Rattus norvegicus: one gene and its partner. The protein of the gene in region 1 purifies or fractionates together with the protein of each later gene. This does not show direct contact. Links are inferred from orthologs where the notes say so. Each region holds a gene or a part of one and is shown on either strand. Other genes may lie near its edges.

Region 1 (3,833 bases):
TGTCAGAGTTATGTTGATGCCATTAATTCATGTTGGGGTGAAAACACAGTTTTTCCTTGAGGTAGGGTTTACTATGTAGCTTCGGCTTGCGAGGAACTCACTATCCAGACTGGACTGGAATTCACAGTGCTCCTTCTGCCTCTGCCTCCCTAATGCTGGGATTGAAGGCCTGAGCCACCATATCTGTTGGATGAAAATATTTTCAACTGTATACATACACATTTATGTATATATATCTTGTTTGTAAGATATTTTAAACATTTTGATTTGAAACTTTAGTATATTTCTTATTTTATATATGCATATGAACAAACAGATATGTAAGGTTTTTGTTTTAGAGGGAAAATAAGAGAAATGAGGACATTTTGGTAGGGTAGAAACTAGGATTCATATGAAGAAACGATTCAATACAGTTTTGTAAGATGAAGTTGAGGTCAAAGTTTGAAGTATTTTTGTGTTACTTATGCTTCTGCTTCCATTTGTTTCTTCCCCAGAGAACAAATTAAAAGAGTAAAGGACTCTGAAGATGTGCCTATGGTCCTAGTAGGGAATAAGTGTGACTTGCCTTCTAGAACAGTAGACACGAAACAGGCTCAGGAGTTAGCAAGGAGTTATGGGATTCCATTCATTGAGACCTCAGCGAAGACAAGACAGGTGAGTGCCACCGGAGAGATGTGCGTCTACTCTGCCGGGTGCTCCAAATGATGCTCACCACTGTTCTCCATTTCCAAATGGTGTCATTGGGGTCTACTTGCCACCATAACTATTGTTACATGTTCCTCATTTCATGTGATTCTCCAGTCTTTCTATTATTCTAACATAGAAAATAATGTTTATTTGGCAAATGTCTTCTCAAGTAGATAGTACTTCTTATCTAGGAACCACAATATTACTTTGGATCCCCCCACCCCCCATGTGTGCACAGGAGAGAGGGGGGTGTAGATAGATGGTAGGGGTTGCAATGGTCTCTGTACCCAGCCTGGGGTTGTACTCTCAGTCCCCTAAGTCTGTCTTGCAGGTGCTGGGATGACAGATGTCCTCCACTATGCCTGGTATTCCGTTTTCTTTTCATTTTGAAATTGTTTCTTCTGCCTAGAGTACATTTTACATTTAGGATTCAAGAAATGTGGAAATTTTTTCCCACTGAAATGATAAAGACAGAATGATGGAATAAAGTTTGACTTTCCTGTTTTAGAAGCAGTTTTTAGGATTTGTTGAGTTGTATTTGAAGAATTATTTTTTGGCGGAAAGTTTTTGAGGGTCTATTCTTCAGGGAGAAAGTTGTGATTAAAGTAAGGGAATATTTAGAAAGCAACTAGATATTCTTAAAAAGTGAGTTTCTGTAGTCTGACTGTCTGTGGGTATCTCCTGCGTGCCAGTTGGCTCACAGTTTACTTAGTTTCTAGAGACTTGGTGTGCATCACTCGGCTTCAGGGTAGGGAGCTATTTTATCCAAGTCCATCCCGCAGTCCAAAGGCACGAGAGGTTTGTTTCTATGTTCTATTTCCAAGTCTTCTTGATTTTATTTAGAAGCAGCCCAGAACATATAATTATAATATCTGTAACTTTTCCCTAAGTCCTCCTATGAAATAATTCAATGTAAGGAATTTTATTGAAAACATACTGTATAGATTTTACCATTAATACTTTACTCCTTCAATTGTTTAAACTTGCAAAGGCACCTTTCATACTAGTGAACATCAATCATAGTTGACATTTCATGGAGAAAAGGAAAAGCCCGAGACTGGGCTGGCTGTAAACACAGAAGAAAGGGCCTCTTGGACTAGAATATGCACACAAATCAGCTGACCTTATTAAAGTCAAAGTCCAGACATTGTGTTTGTGTTGAAGCCCATGTTGCGCATTCCTTTGCATTGTCGGGTGGTGCTGGTTGGAGAGTTGGGCCACAGTTTGAGTAGAAGCCATAGAGCACAGTGAAAGGAGTCTCTTGGCTTATCATCTCTGGGTTGCTCTCCACCTTTCATTTGGTAAGAGCCTTAAATAGCTCTTAAATAGCTTAAATTTAATTTATTATTTGTGTTTGACATTAATGCTTTGGTATACTGTAGTTCATTATTGATTTAGAACACTACCTCCTCTCCTTTTAAAATAGCTTTCTAGCTTTAACAGTGTTTTGTGGGGCTGGGGATTTAGCTCAGTGGTAGAGCGCTTACCTAGGAAGCGCAAGGCCCTGGGTTCGGTCCCCAGCTCCGAAAAAAAGAACCAAAAAAAAAACCAAAAAACCAAAAAAAACAGTGTTTTGTGACACACATACTACCAACACCTTTAAAAATTTAGAAATTTAAAAATTTGTTTTGCTTTGTTTATGTTTGGTTTTTGTGTTTTGACAGAGACAGCCCAGGCAAATCTCAGACTTACTATGTAGTAGAGGCTGGCCTTGAACTCTCGCCTCTACCTCCCATGTGTTGGGATTACAGGCATATGCCACCATGCCCAGTTCATTTTGTCAGGTTAAAGGCATACGGTATAGAAATAGATGAACTTAAATTTGGTTTTTAGATAGTGTAAGTTGTCTAACATGTATAGAGTTAAGATATACAGACACTTCTTAAGCCGTGCTTAGCCCTTCTTGTATTTATTCGTAATTTATGGATTTTTTTATACAATATATTGCCTAACTATAACTTGAATGCTCACTTTTCACTAGACTTGTTTTAGAAATTAATTTGCTTTGAAAAATCATTAATAGTTCTTAAAAATAATTTAATATTTTAAAGTTTTGGAAGATTTTAAAGAGCTACTCCAAATAATTTTGGTAATTTATAATATCCAAGGTACATTTTAATAAATTTTACCTTCAATTTTGGGGAAGATTTGGAGCTCCTTTTGGGGAGTATTTTGTTACTGTCTTTTATTTGCTTATTTGTGTGTGTGTGTGTGTGTGTGTGTGTGTGTGTGTGTGTGTGTGTGTGTATTTCATGTATGTGAGTACATTGTCGCTGTCTTCAGACACACCAGAAGAGGACATCAGATCCCAGATGGTTGTGAGCCACCATGTGGTTTCCGGGATTTGAACTCAGAACCTCTGCAAGAGCAGTCAGTGCTCTTAACCTCTGAGCCAACTCTCCAGCCCTGCTTATTTGTTATTTTAGCTACATATACCCGTCCTTAATGTATTTGTCTGCTTGAAATTTTGTTGTTTTTCCAGCCTAACAAAAGCACCACAGACTTGTATTTATGGTGGTAGGAACTGAACATTTCACTGAGAAGTTCTGTGATACAAGTCAGGGCATGGCAAGCATTTTCTACAGAGACCCAGAGAGCAAAGTGGTATCTTAAACATTATTTTCCCAAAAAAGCCTTGAAAATTAAAACTGCTTGTCAGCTAATACCAGAGCAGTTGACCCTGCCCGTATTTGGCCTTTAGGTTGTAGTGTGCTAGTCTCAACCTTTATAGAAGGCAACCGATGAGACTCCAGTAGATGCACAAGACCTTCGACCTACAACAGGCTGATTTTACCATTTTAAAGCTAAATTCATATATTTAATGAAAGAAGTTATATTCTATTTTTAAGATATAGGTTATAGAATACATATTTTTATCAGTACATTTTTGCTAATTTTAAATGCATATTACCTTGCCACTATATAATGATTAATAGAATGTGTGGGTGTGGGTGTGAGCATGTGTGTGTGAACACATGTGCACACCCACATGCTTTTTGCCCACTTTGAAACAGGGTCTTGCTGTGTTGCCCAGACTATTCTGGAGCTCATGTGCTCAAGTGGTCCTCCTTCCTCAGTCCCTGGACTCCAGATGTGTGGTACTGTACTGAGCTGAGCTGGTTTTTTTGTCCTTTAGTCCTTTCAGT
Region 2 (4,400 bases), on another chromosome or scaffold:
AAAGATTATATATACCTTCTGTCAACTTCAAGCCCTTACATTTCATTCTGAGTGAGGCATTCAGTTAATAATCCAACATTTAAAGAAAATCAACCTAACTAATGACAGTTTCTCTCAGTGGCAAGTTAGAATCGAAGGTCTTTGTGTACATATTCTAGGTCAAGACAGACATTTCTTGGATATATCAACTAAATGCCTGAAGTCCCAGCAGAAGGTAGACAATCCAGCTATGTCTCTAACTACCTCATGTGGAAGGAAGACACTAACCACTCATCCACCTACTCATTTTGGGGGAGGCGGCCCCAGCTTAAAGCCAGGAGGAGGTAGCATAGCAAGCCTATTTGCACGCACCATGCAATGTACCTACAATGCTCTAAGAGCCAGCCGTGAAGTCTGAGACGGGCATAAACCCTGGAAGTCTCATCTAGCTCCGCACCAAGTACCTGCGTCACTGGATACCTACCACTACCACCGCCAAAGCCGCCTCCGCCTCCTCCGTTGTTATAGCTGTCATAGCTGCCACTCCCGCCATAGCCACTGCCCTGGTTTCCATAACCCTGTCCACCACTTCCATAGCCTCTGCTTCCTCCAGAGTAACCAGGGCCGCCTCCTCCATAACCACCTACAAGAATACAAGTCTTCTCAATAAGACAAAAGTATTTAACAAGAAAAATCTACGCAAGTTAAATAGCTAAAGGCTGCTCAGGGCATGCATTTTACGGGGCTGACTGAACTTTGTCATGCACTAGGTTTAGTCTCTAGTAGCCTATTCTAAAGGTAGAGGTCGCCAGAAACCACTCCTTACAGACTCCTTAAGAAACTTACCATCATTGCCAAATCCATTATAGCCATCCCCACTGCCACCATATCCACCACCACCACGGCTGCCACCAAAGCCACCTGGAAGAAACCAAAGCTTTAAACCAGGCTTTGTACGTGAATGAATACTTATCAAATATCAAAACCTGTAAGTGCTGGGGACACAGGGTAGCAATTACTAGTTATAAGTTCTAAAACCAACAAGGAGCCAAACAAAGCCATACACACCACGACCACTGAAGTTCCCTCCTCGACCAAAATTGTCATTGCCACCGAAACCACCTCCACGACCACCACCAAAGTTTCCGGAACCACTTCGACCTTAAAAGAAATTTTGGATCATTAGGTTAACCTGTAATAACTAACAGTGTCCTCCTCACCCCAAGTCTAACCAAGCAATAAACACACCTCTCTGGCTGGATGAAGCACTAGCCATCTCTTGTTTCGACAGAGCCTTTCTTACTTCACAGTTGTGGCCATTCACAGTATGGTATTTCTGAACTAAGAGGAAAAATTAAATTCAGGACTTTTAAAAAAACATGTGAACTCCAGAATCATAAAGGAAAATGTAATCCTCTGATACTTACTAACAATCTTATCCACAGAGTCATGGTCATCAAAGGTGACAAACGCAAATCCCCTCTTTTTTCCACTGCCTCTGTCAGTCATAATTTCAATCACTTCAATTTTCCCATACTGCTCAAAATAATCTCGTAGGTGATGTTCTTCAGTGTCTTCTTTAATACCGCCAACAAAGATCTTCTTCACAGTTAAGTGGGCACCTGGTCTCTGAGAATCCTAAAAGGAAAAATGACTCCAGTTATTTAGTAGCAGCACATTCCTAAATGATTGACACCTGTGGTGGCACATGCCTTTAATTTCACTCAGGAGGGAGGATCTCCCAGTTGAGATCTGCCCCATTACAATCTCAGGTTAAAAAAGAACCAGCTATTAGGAAAAACCACTCACTTCTCTTGACACAGCTCTCTTAGGTTCCACAACTCTTCCATCCACCTTGTGTGGTCTTGCATTCATGGCAGCATCCACTTCCTCCACAGTGGCATATGTGACAAACCCAAAGCCTCTGGATCTTTTGGTGTTTGGATCTCTCATTACCTGTTTAGAGTTAATTCAATCAACACAGTGCCTGATCACAAAGCCAAAAAGTCATTCCTAGTCAGAGCGCTGCAAACATGAAACTCCATCCAGAGTCAGAAAATAAAAAGCTCTTTTACAGATCTTGTTAGCAAAGCTCCACAACGATGATTTTTAGTATCCCATTAATTAACTTCACAAAACATTTAGCTAAGAAGCGTCAAGGTTAAATCAGAAGAAATAAGGCAGCTCTTCCTTTTGTTTTTTTAAATCTTACCACACAGTCGGTGAGTGTTCCCCATTGCTCAAAATGGCTCCTCAGACTCTCGTCGGTTGTTTCGAAGCTCAGCCCTCCAATGAAGAGCTTCCGCAGCTGTTCCGGTTCCTTGGGGGACTAAAATAAAGTGGGGGAAAGAGGGGGCTTAGTGGAGGGCCTGAAACTTGGGCGAATGAATCAACACCATTCATCAACACACGCCACACTTTTTTATTGTTCTTTATTACTGCACAAGACCACGTGCTCCTTCCTGGGCTTGACTGGGGACTCGAGTTGCACGCGGCGCATGCGTCCTGTTACTTCATACGCAGGCGCAACAAAAGACACAGGTTGGTCTGGTCCATCGCCATTAAGACTTAGTATCTCTTTAACAAGAGATCATTAGACCAGATAGGGAAAAACGAAAAAAAGGCCACAAACCCCAGATCGTTAAGTGTAAGAATTCTGCCAAAAGGAACAGTGCGTAGAAACTAATGGCTGTCGGATCGCAGCCTCATGGTGACTATGAGGACAAAATGGCGACCTGCATTTTTTAAAGTAGGCCTCAGCAGTAATCGATCAAACACCGAAAGCACGGGAGCCAGCGACAAAACAGGTCACATCCCGTCATATTCAGTAAGTGTGGAAGAAAGCGAAGCTGCAGAGCGCGCTCAACTCACCTCTGACTTAGACATGACGGTAGGATGATGAGAGCGTTCAGCGATGCTTCCTCGCCAGCGTCAAAGAGCAGAAAGGAATAAGATAGCGAACGTGTCCGGCAGCCTACCTTCTGCTCTCCCTTTTATCCCGCCTCCTCGCTTTCGGCATTGGTAGACTCCGCCCTTGCTTCAGTCTTATTGGAGATTTGAAATTGTTCCCTCCCACCATTGGCCTGTAAAAACGCCCTGCTAAGAAACGGCATCCGTTTGGGCGTTCTACTCAGTCCCCGCCCCTTTGAGTCATTGACGCCCCAAGGGATCTTATTCTTAACCACATTGATTGGCTAGCTAGCCAGTAATTTATATTTGAATGTACTCACGTCTTTAAATGTGTTTTATACCTTCCCCACACCCGAATGTTACAAACTCACTCGGCAAAGGACGATACGTTAGAAAGTAGTTCGCCGCGACTTTTCCCAGCTATAAAGCGCATGTGTAATAAAAATGGCGAGTTTACGCCGGCGCAGTACGAAGTTCCGCCTGCTGTCTGGAACACGTGAAATGGCGGGCGGGAGAGGGATACGAGGTTCGTAGGCGCCTGCGTAGTGGAGGGACCTGTGTTCTGTTTTGCGCAGGCGTTTTGGGCGGAGAAAAGGTCCAAGCCCGGGATTGGTTGCGCAGGCGCAGGGAAGGATCCGTTTTGGCGGGCGGTTGGCATTGCGCAGAAGGCGGCGGTAGCGGTGGCTTGTGGTGCCGCTTTGCCACAGAGGAACCGTGCAGGCCTTAGTGTGAGTGATCACTTTAGATCCCGGGTAAGTGGCAGAGTCTTGTCTACCCGTACGAGATCTTGAACCTGCTCCAATTGCACCGGTTATTGTACGAAATGAATGGACCGCTGAACTGGGGGGGGGGGGGAGACGACGGTGAAGGGGCCGCGACGGGTCGGGCCAGCCAATAGGACAACTGGGGCGGGATGTTTTATCCTTGCAGGTTCGGTGAAGCTGCGTTGCCGAAGCGTTTGACTGGCGAGTGTATAGGCCAATTGGGTCTTCCTATAGCTGCCTACCAACCGGTCCTTGGGCCATCGGAATGTGGGAGGCGGGTTTTTCTTGCCTGAGTTGCGTCTCTCCGAGCCAATGAACCCCAAGCGCGCCATAGGCCGGCCTTCCCCAAGAGGCAGAGGCTGGACTCCAGTGGGGAGCGCGGGAGTCGGTAGGTTAAATTCATATAGAGCAAACCTGGAGCCAGTAGGACAGACTACTCTCAAAAAATAAAGCTTAGTCTTGCATTTGTGGGGGCGAACATTTAACTAAAATGACTCCTATAATTAAGGCATTCATTCCGTATATTACCTTAAGGAAAACATATGTTTTCTTGTACTTTTTGGTACAAAAAGTTTCACCCTTCACTTAGACTCTAGAGGACGTGCCTTTATTCTTTGGAAAGAAGAATATTAAAATTTTACAGTGAAATGAATACTTTAATGAAAAACATCCAAGAAAAATAGACTTAACCACTACCACCCGTTTCCAGGGCCGCTGTATTTGTACTTGTATCCCTATGAAAGTTTT

What was found.
Region 2: the proteins of Kras (region 1) and Hnrnpa1 purify together in Homo sapiens (affinity purification with mass spectrometry; 3 studies listed by BioGRID and IntAct, with this or other methods). This does not show direct contact. The link is inferred for Rattus norvegicus from reciprocal best matches to the Homo sapiens genes KRAS and HNRNPA1.

The regions. Positions count from the first base shown.
Region 1 is NC_086022.1:179,929,054-179,932,886, reverse strand, and holds part of Kras (GTPase KRas), read left to right. Parts: exon of another isoform or gene 1-494; coding exon 495-654; exon of another isoform or gene 655-3,833. UniProt on the Homo sapiens protein: Ras proteins bind GDP/GTP and possess intrinsic GTPase activity. Plays an important role in the regulation of cell proliferation.
Region 2 is NC_086025.1:136,252,624-136,257,023, reverse strand, and holds the start of Hnrnpa1 (heterogeneous nuclear ribonucleoprotein A1), read right to left. Parts: upstream 2,907-4,400; 5' UTR 2,866-2,906; coding exon 2,851-2,865; intron 2,807-2,850; exon of another isoform or gene 2,449-2,806; intron 2,309-2,448; coding exon 2,192-2,308; intron 1,936-2,191; coding exon 1,789-1,935; intron 1,618-1,788; coding exon 1,407-1,617; intron 1,321-1,406; coding exon 1,228-1,320; intron 1,141-1,227; coding exon 1,048-1,140; intron 901-1,047; coding exon 826-900; intron 623-825; coding exon 464-622; intron 1-463. UniProt on the Homo sapiens protein: Involved in the packaging of pre-mRNA into hnRNP particles, transport of poly(A) mRNA from the nucleus to the cytoplasm and modulation of splice site selection.